Linked DNA regions of Chlamydomonas reinhardtii. Each later gene encodes a partner of the first gene's protein in a complex. Links are inferred from orthologs where the notes say so. Each region holds a gene or a part of one and is shown in the gene's direction. Other genes may lie near its edges.

The links.
Region 2: CHLRE_08g382590v5 (region 1) and CHLRE_17g728200v5 share a complex: the UniProt entries of both Arabidopsis thaliana proteins name them as parts of the SWR1 chromatin-remodeling complex. The link is inferred for Chlamydomonas reinhardtii from reciprocal best matches to the Arabidopsis thaliana genes ARP6 and SWC2.

The regions. Positions count from the first base shown.
Region 1 is NC_057011.1:4,509,997-4,513,946, reverse strand, and holds the start of CHLRE_08g382590v5 (uncharacterized protein), read left to right. Parts: upstream 1-1,150; 5' UTR 1,151-1,482; coding exon 1,483-1,565; intron 1,566-2,007; coding exon 2,008-2,086; intron 2,087-2,712; coding exon 2,713-2,892; intron 2,893-3,348; coding exon 3,349-3,525; intron 3,526-3,950. Other genes in the region: CHLRE_08g382605v5 (uncharacterized protein), read right to left, coding at 1-264, 416-457. UniProt on the Arabidopsis thaliana protein: Component of the SWR1 complex which mediates the ATP-dependent exchange of histone H2A for the H2A variant H2A.F/Z leading to transcriptional regulation of selected genes (e.g. FLC) by chromatin remodeling. Binds to the promoter region of FLC chromatin.
Region 2 is NC_057020.1:3,853,930-3,858,106, reverse strand, and holds the start of CHLRE_17g728200v5 (uncharacterized protein), read left to right. Parts: upstream 1-1,377; 5' UTR 1,378-1,459; coding exon 1,460-1,648; intron 1,649-1,746; coding exon 1,747-1,793; intron 1,794-1,924; coding exon 1,925-2,186; intron 2,187-2,399; coding exon 2,400-2,500; intron 2,501-2,717; coding exon 2,718-2,841; intron 2,842-3,807; coding exon 3,808-4,044; intron 4,045-4,177. Other genes in the region: CHLRE_17g728250v5 (uncharacterized protein), read left to right, coding at 1-353. UniProt on the Arabidopsis thaliana protein: Component of the SWR1 complex which mediates the ATP-dependent exchange of histone H2A for the H2A variant H2A.F/Z leading to transcriptional regulation of selected genes (e.g. FLC) by chromatin remodeling.

The DNA.
Region 1 (3,950 bases):
GGAAAAGCAGTCCGACCAGAACTTTCGCAGCCCGCGCGGCAGGTGCGGCGGCAGCTGCAGCGGCACGGGGATGCCGCCGGCGTCGGCGGCCAGCCACTGCTCCTCCGTCTCCTCGGCCGGCGTGGCGTTGGGGGCGGCAGCACCGGCGCCGGCCGCGCCGGCCTTGCCACCACCACCCGACCAGCCCGCCTTGGCGCCGGCGCCCGGCTTGCCGCCGGCGCCCGCGCCCACGCCGGCGTCCTTTTGCGCAGAGATCGGCGCCGACTGCGCAAACGGCATGGGAGACAGGCAAATGGCTTAGGGCATGTCATGCGCTCACATTTTGGAAGGCTTCTGAGCGCAGCGGCGCCCAGGCTGTGCCTGGTTTATCGGTGTGAAAACGGATACACAGGCTACTGGTCGCAGGTGCACTTGCCTTTTCATCATTCGGCCGGGCTACACTGGCGCTGCATCCCATCTTGTCTGCGCGCTTGCTTCAAAACTTCGACCTATAACATATCCATTTTGGCCTCAAGTTGTGATGTATTGCAGTTTTAATGAGGTCAAGCTCGATAGAAAAGCAGGATTTTGGCCCGTCGAAGTCCAAACACACGCGGCAAGATAAAAAGACAAATGTGGCAGCTACATGTAAGGAAATCAGCTCGCATATATGAGTTTGGCGCTCTGTCTGTCGGCGACGCGATTGTGCTTGGAGTACGCGTGTACTAACAGCGATCAGAGTTCACACTGAGACCGCCCTCGAGTTCCCCTAAGGACTTAAGATTGTATGCTGTCGGAACTAACACACCGTGTGTCCCTGACAGCTGAGCTTCTCATGGAGGCCTTGTGGGCGCTGGTGATGGCGGGCGTGGCCCCCTTTCCCCCCGCCCCCTCCTTCAGTCTCATAACCCCCCTGCATACACGGTGACACGGTGACCGCAGGCAACTCCCTCACAGCGTGCTCATATATGTGCCGCATTGTTCGGAATGGTAACGTGCGGCACGCATCTATGGTGCCAAGCGAATGCGTCAGTTCTGGCAGCGAGGGAGGGCGAGGGGCAGCGTGCATTACGGCCAGATCGGCAAACTTGACAGCTGCAAACTGAACTAGAAGCCCAGTGTGTGTACGCCTTGTAAATACAATAGCCTTAGAGCAGTTTATGTAGTTCGCCTCATAACTCAGTTCCATTTGCACGATACAAGCCCAGAATTCATTGCCGCTTGATTGCATGATTAGATTTTACGATATTATTGATATGTGAATTAACAGAATTGCAAGACTCTTCAGGAGAACAGCGGCCGGCAAACAGTGGGCGCAAATGGCTCAGCCGTGAGCTCTCGAGCGAAAGCCTGGTAATATTATAGTTGTTTGGTTCCAGGGGCCTAAAGGCGCTTGCCGGCCGGCTCCAAACGGGCAGCCGGCCCCTAGGGGTCCAACACCAGCCCGCACCCTGAGCAGCGGGAGGCCTCTCCCTCCGCTCCGGAGCCGCCCGGTGCTCGGCGATGGCGGCGGTGCCGGTGGTAGCCATCGACAATGGCGGCGGCAACTGCAAGATTGGCATTGCGGGACAGGCGGCACCCACACGGTGGGTCCTGCGGTTAGGGCGCCCTGCGGTAGGGAGGGCGTGGCAATCAGCGGTTTGGTTGCGTGCCGTAGTGGGCATGGTGCGTTTGCATGTTTCTATAGCTGTGCAAAAAGGAAGATGTTGGCGGCTTGTGGGAGCACTGATGCCCGCAGTCAGCCTACACGTGTGTTTGTGTGTGCACGTGTGTGGTGTGGTGTTGTCAGGGTCTGCAAGAGCACCACGCCCAGGGGTTTGTGTTGCGGCTGCTGAGGCTGTAGGGGCTACTGAATATTGCCCCCGCTTTTCAAACAACTGATCTCGTCCGCAACCGATGCTCCATTGCTCTATCGCTTCGCTCCTCACTGCCTATCACCCACACACCCGCCCCGCCCCCTGTGCCCCTGCCTCCCCCTACCTCCCCCTCCTCCTCCCCCTCCTCCCCCCCCCTTTGCACGCCGCACAGCGTGTTCCCCAACGCCTCCGCCAAGCCCAAGGGCGAGCGCCAGACACTCATCGCCGACCAGCTGGCGGACAGCAAGGAGGTGGGAGGGGGAGGAGGGCGGTGTATGAGGGAAGGGGTTTGGGGGGGGAGAAGGAGGGACGGGCGATGGAGGGAGAAGGAGGGACGGAAAAACGAGGGAGGGGAGGGAGGGAGGGGAGGAGGGAAGGGAGGGACTGGGAGGGAAGGGAGGGCGGGGAGGGAGGGAGGCACGCCGTGTAAAAAGCAGGGTAGAAGGGGAGCGCGGGGATGGCGGGGGACTGGGGGCACAACGTGGGCGAAGGCGCGGGAAGAGAGGTGGGGATGCCGGGTGCGAGGGACATACAGAGCACACATGTGGCGACCTCATGGGCCCGCATGGGCAGATTCGTGGTGGTGCCGATGGCGTCTCCCACTCTCCCATTGCCGCACCCCCGCACGCACCTCACCCCACCTCACCTCACATTCACACACACACACACGCCCCCTTCAACACACACGCACACACATGCACCCCCACACGCCCCCTTCAACACACACACACACACACACGCTCCCTCCAACACACACACACACACACACACACACACACACACACACACACACACACACGCATACACACACATGCACACACCCTTAACACACACACACACACACACGCACCCTCCGTCCGCCCACGCCGCCGCGCAGGTGTCCCAGCTGCAGCTGCGCCGCCCCTTCGACCGCGGCTACTGCTGCCACCTGGAGCTGCAGCGCGACGTGTGGGCCCGCGGCGTGCGGGCGGTGCTGCGGCGCAACCCTGCCGAGTGCGGGCTGCTGCTGTCGGAGCCGCTGTTCAACTTCGAGGAGATACGGGCAGGCACACAGCAGGTGCGGGGCGGGGGTGTGGGGTGGGTGGAGGTGGAGGCTGGGTGGAGGGGGTGGAGGTGATCCGGGCGGGCACACAGCAGGTGGAGGCGGTGGGTGGGTGGGTGGGGTTGGGCGGAGGCGGTGTGGGTGGGCGGGTGGGTGGGGTGGAGGAGATGGGGGTGGGGGCAGTGGGGTAGGACTGTAGGAACTGGGGATGGCGGAGGAGCAGGAGGAGGAGCAGGAGGAGCAGGAGGAGGAGCAGGAGGAGCAGGAGGAGGAGCAGGAGGAGGACGAGATGAAGGCAAGGAGGGAGACGAACAGGAGGAGGGAGGCACTCTGCTCACCCCCCTACCGCCACTACCACACACCACACACCACCCCACCCGCCTCTCCCCCCACCCGCCTCTCCCCTCACCCGCCTCTCCCCCCACCCGCCTCTCCCCTCACCCGCCTCTCCCCCCGCACCCGCCCGCCCAGGTGGTGTTTGAGGACCTTGGATTCCGCTCCTTCTACGCCGCGCCCGGCCCCGTGTTCGCCATGCACCGGGCGGCGGCGGTGCTGGGGGCCGGCAGCGCGGCGGCGCGCACGGGCGCGGGCGTGGTGGTGGACTGCGGCTTCAGCTTCACACACGCCGTGCCCTTCTTCAAGGGCCAGGTGGGGGCGGGGTGGGGCGGGGTGGGAGGGGAAGGGGGAGGGGGAGTGGAGGGGTGTATGACCGAGGGGGATGCGGGCGTGGGGTTGAGGGTGTGGTGGGGGTAAGGGCGGGTGGTGAGGGAGGTCGGCTTATTGCAGGATGGTGTTCAACCGCTGCACCGGTGTTTTGCCTTGCCGCACCTGAGCGGACACGCTCGCCCCAACCTCTGCACGAGTCCCAACCCACTCCCTCGCCCTCACGCTCCCCACCTCACCACCCACCGCCCACGTGCCAACCCACCCAGCTCACCACCCCCCACCACGCCACCCCAACCACCACCTCCCCCCTCCACGCTACTGTACCTGGCTATGCCTTCACTTCTTAAATAATTATGAATGTAATCCCCCCCCCCACACACACACACACGCCCCCTCCCTTCCCCCTC
Region 2 (4,177 bases), on another chromosome or scaffold:
TGCTCGTGTTCCGGTCCAGCGGGCCGCCGGCACTCACCATCTGGCGGCCTGTGCCGCCGCCCGGGTACGCGGTGGCTGGGTGCGTGGCTTGGCCGGCGATCGAGGAGCCGCCGCCAGGGCTGGTGGCGTGCGTGCGGGCAGACTGTGTGGCGCCGGTGTCGTTCTCGGGCGCGCGGTCGCCGATTTGGAGCGGCGCGAGCCCGGAGCACCCCTCGTGGCGCTGTGCGCTTTGGCCGGTGGTGACGGAGGGTGGCGGCGGCGGCGACGGGTCGGGCGCCTTTGTGGCGATACGCGGCGGCGACAACCAGCCGCTCACGCCGCCGCCGGGCCTGATGCTACGGCTGCTGGTGTAGCTGCCTTTAAGAAATGCGTGATAACAATTTGTTGTGAATTGTATGTGGTTTGAATTTGAGCCTCGATGGTTGACGTGATCGGCCGGGCAGTTACTGCGCCGTGTGGTTTGTAGGAGCCAGTGCGGGAGAAATGTACCGTAACACGCAAAAGATGGCTTGTCATTGTCACCGCCTCAGGACTCTGAACCGCTGTGAAGCATGTGGACGATTGTAATTGTGGGCGGACGGTGCCAGCTGCGCTATGCCGACTCCTCCGTGCTAGAGGTGCGCGGCAGCCAGGGGAGCAGCGGTACAGTAGCTGTTGTTGTGTGTGGTTACAAGGTGGTGAGCACGACGTGCATTAAAAGCTGATCGGCTATGGTCGGAGCCGCCCTACCCCTGATTACCTGCCGACCTTCGCAACCGTACATTGGTCTCGAGCACTGCGCCACAAGTAGAAGCCAAGCCACAGCCCGCCCTGATGCAAGGCAGGTAGCGAGGCTCCTGCGGCGCGCCAGGCACGCCGAGGGGAGTAGGAGGGTGGGAGGGATGTCTGGGCGAGCCATCCAGGGCATCGGGGTCGGAGACGCATCCAGCCGGCGCGGGCATCCAGCATAGCCCAGCCACATAACCTGCCTACCTGGGGGCGACCCGACCGGGCCATCCAACAGTCCCCGCCGAGCCATCCGGTTGTCCCGCCCAGGCATCCAGCAGTGCTGGGCCGGCCCGCTAGGGAACTGCAACAGTGCTTGGAAACGGGTAGTCCCAACCACGCTAAAACAGCCAATCCCCAAAATTCCCACACTAGCTTTCATTTCTCCTCCTGGGGAGTACGCCTGTTCCCCACGTCCTCTTCCATACTTTGGCGCGCCTTCACCGGAGAGACCCACAAATCTACGGAGGCCTGTATGAGACGTACTATTCAGGAGCGTCAGGCGCCGACAACCATGGATATCAATGACTTCGGATAACCTGGGATGGGAGCTCCGAGATGGGGTACGTGTCGTGCACCTGGCTTGCCCTGGTCACCTTCTTTTATATTCGTGTATCGTTATAAGCCGACGAGTCTGGGAAAACAACAGAAATTAAGGGCTCCAGGCCGCCTTTAGACCAAGCGCCGGGCGAAAATGGGGCGAGACCTCCCGCAGCGGACAACGCGCGGCCGGCGCATGGCCGCGCAGTTAGACGAGGAGGAGGACGCTGCCGATAACGATTTCTGGAACCAGGAATTCTTCAAGGAAGAGGCAGTCGATGACGATTACAAGACCGAGTCCGAGCCTGAGGACATTATCGATTCTGACTTCGACGAGGAAGAGGTGAGCATTTGAATATACCAAGACCTTGTGCATGCACAGAAGGACGCGCAGCCGGGATCGTTCGACCTAATGGCTGCGCCCCTTGCTCAAATTTGCAGGAGGCAGAAAACGATGATGAGGTGGAGGTTCGGGATGACGAACCGCGGTGAGTGGGGCGCAAAGGACAGCGGCACCCCTGCGCTGACTCGTTGTTTCCGTGCCTGCTGCGCTGCCCCCGACCCACCGCCTGATCGCGATATCCCTGCCCTCGTGCCCTGCCCTTGGCCCGTTGCGCAGGAAGAAAATGATGAAGCCGCCGGGTCGACCCCCAAAGCCCAAGGCAAAGCCGAAGCCCAAGGTCAAGAAGGAGGAGAGCGAGGGTGACGAGGAGGACGAGGAGGCAGGTGACGAGGACGACGAGGGCGAGGATGGCAACACGCGGCCAGCCAAGAAGCCTAAGATCCCGCGGGAGCCGATCATCTACATCGCACCTACACTGCGCCGGTCCACCGTGGCCAAGGTGGCTGAGGCGGAGATCGAGCGGCAGTACAAAGCCAAGGTGAGTGGGAGGTAGGGCCCGGTGTGCCGGGGTCGGTTAGGCGGGGCGCGGCTTCACAAGCTTTCAGCTTCCCAGCAACAAGCCAGGGGGGGAAGAGGCTCGACCGCCGGCTCCGCCGGCTCTGTTTGCGCAACTGCCCATTTCCCGTGCTTCTTGCGGCACAGGCGCTCTGACACACCCCACCCTTCCCTCTCATCCTGTGCAATCCCGCAGCCCGCTCGAAAGCCGCGCGCCAAGAACAACTCGGACTGGCGGCCGCTCACTCAGCAGGAGCTGCTGGCAGAGGCGGCGCTGAACGAGATTGAGAACACTCGGTGAGGCCGGTGGATCTCGAGAGCCGGAGAGCACCCAGCCCGCACCTGGGCTAGCTAGACCGTCGCGCGTGGCCCTGCACTTGCGCCGCTGGACCGCATCCATCCACCCCTCATGACTCGCGCCTTGTTGTCTGGTCTGTTTCTCTTCTTCCTGCCATCGCGTTTTTAATTAATCCTCATGCATTCCCTACAACTCCTCTTTTGGCCCAACCCCCAGGTCGCTGAAGATGCTCTTAGCCCGCGAGGAGGAGACCAAGCGCAAGGCGCAGGTGGTCAAGAAGAAGAACAGTGGGCCCAGCGTCAAGTGGCGGTCGCGCAAGGGCGCGGACGGCGAGGAGCACGTGAGTCGATGTCGGGCAGGGGCGGAGGGATCCGAGGGCAGGGGACAGAGGCAGCGGGTGTGGGTGGTCGGGGAGCGGGAGGATCGCTGGAAGGACACGACATGACCACGCATGCAAGGGGAAGGGATGCATGCCGTCGCACCACTGACGGGCCAGAGGGCAGCGCTAGCACTGGCTGTGTCTCCGGCGATGAAGAAGCACAGGATCCTGAGACTCGTTCGCTGAGGATCAAACTTTTTTCCCTTTCGTCTGAGCCGAGGCCAGCCAATGAAGTCATGCATGCCTTCGCACGATCATTTGCAAGCGTACACAAGCATGCTCACGCTCTCAGGCATGCGAACCACACCAACATGCATCGTGGCATGTCGCGTTGCACTTATGGTTGGTGCCTGCGCGGTGGGCAGATCACACTGGCGGATGATGACATTTTCCAAACAGCTTGATAGTAGATCCCGAGCGGCTTCGGCCCGTTGATGACAAGTTTGGGTTTTTGTGACGCCACTCTGCTCGCCTTCCTGGCACTGCACGTATCACGCACGAGCACACCCACGATGGCGTGAAACGTTCGTGAGACACGCATGAGACAAAGAAGAAGCACAGGACCTGAGATTCACCTCTGTGAGGATCAAACTTTTTTCCCTTTCGTCTGAGTCTCATTAGCGTTACCCACAAAGCGTGTCGGGGTTCGGGATCTCCGCTTCCCAGGGCACATTATCCGAGACCAAGAAGAAGCACAGGACCTGAGATTCACCTCTGTGAGGATCAAACTTTTTCCCTTTCGTCTGAGTCTCATTAGCGTACCCGCCAAGCGTGTTGGTTTGGATGCACTCAGTTTGTTACATCTACATTATTCGAGACCAAGAAGAAGCACAGGACCTGAGATTCACCTCTGTGAGGATCAAACTTTTTCCCTTTCGTCTGAGTCTCACCCCTTCTTCCCTCCCTCCCTCCTGCACCTCCACACAGACGACGCTGGAGCTTGTGAACGCCATCGTGCCGCCGCGCTGGATGCAGCCTAGCCGTGCGCCGCCGCCGCCCCACCCGCCCATCTGCTTCGTGACTGGCCTGCCGGCGCGCTACGTGGACCCGCAGACGCGCAGCCATCTCGCCAACACGCTGGCCTTCAAGCGGCTGCGGGGCGGCGCGGGGCCCTTGGCGCCGGCGCTGCAGCAGCAGCTGGTGTTGCACCACCACATGGAGCAGGTAGGCTGCGGGTGACGATGGGTGTGGAGGAGGTAGGGATTGAGTAGCGGGGATTTGTTTGGGCCCTGAGTTGGAACGCCAGGCGACTCGGCGCGGGTTAGCATGGAACTGCCCGTGCGGTAGGAAGCATGCC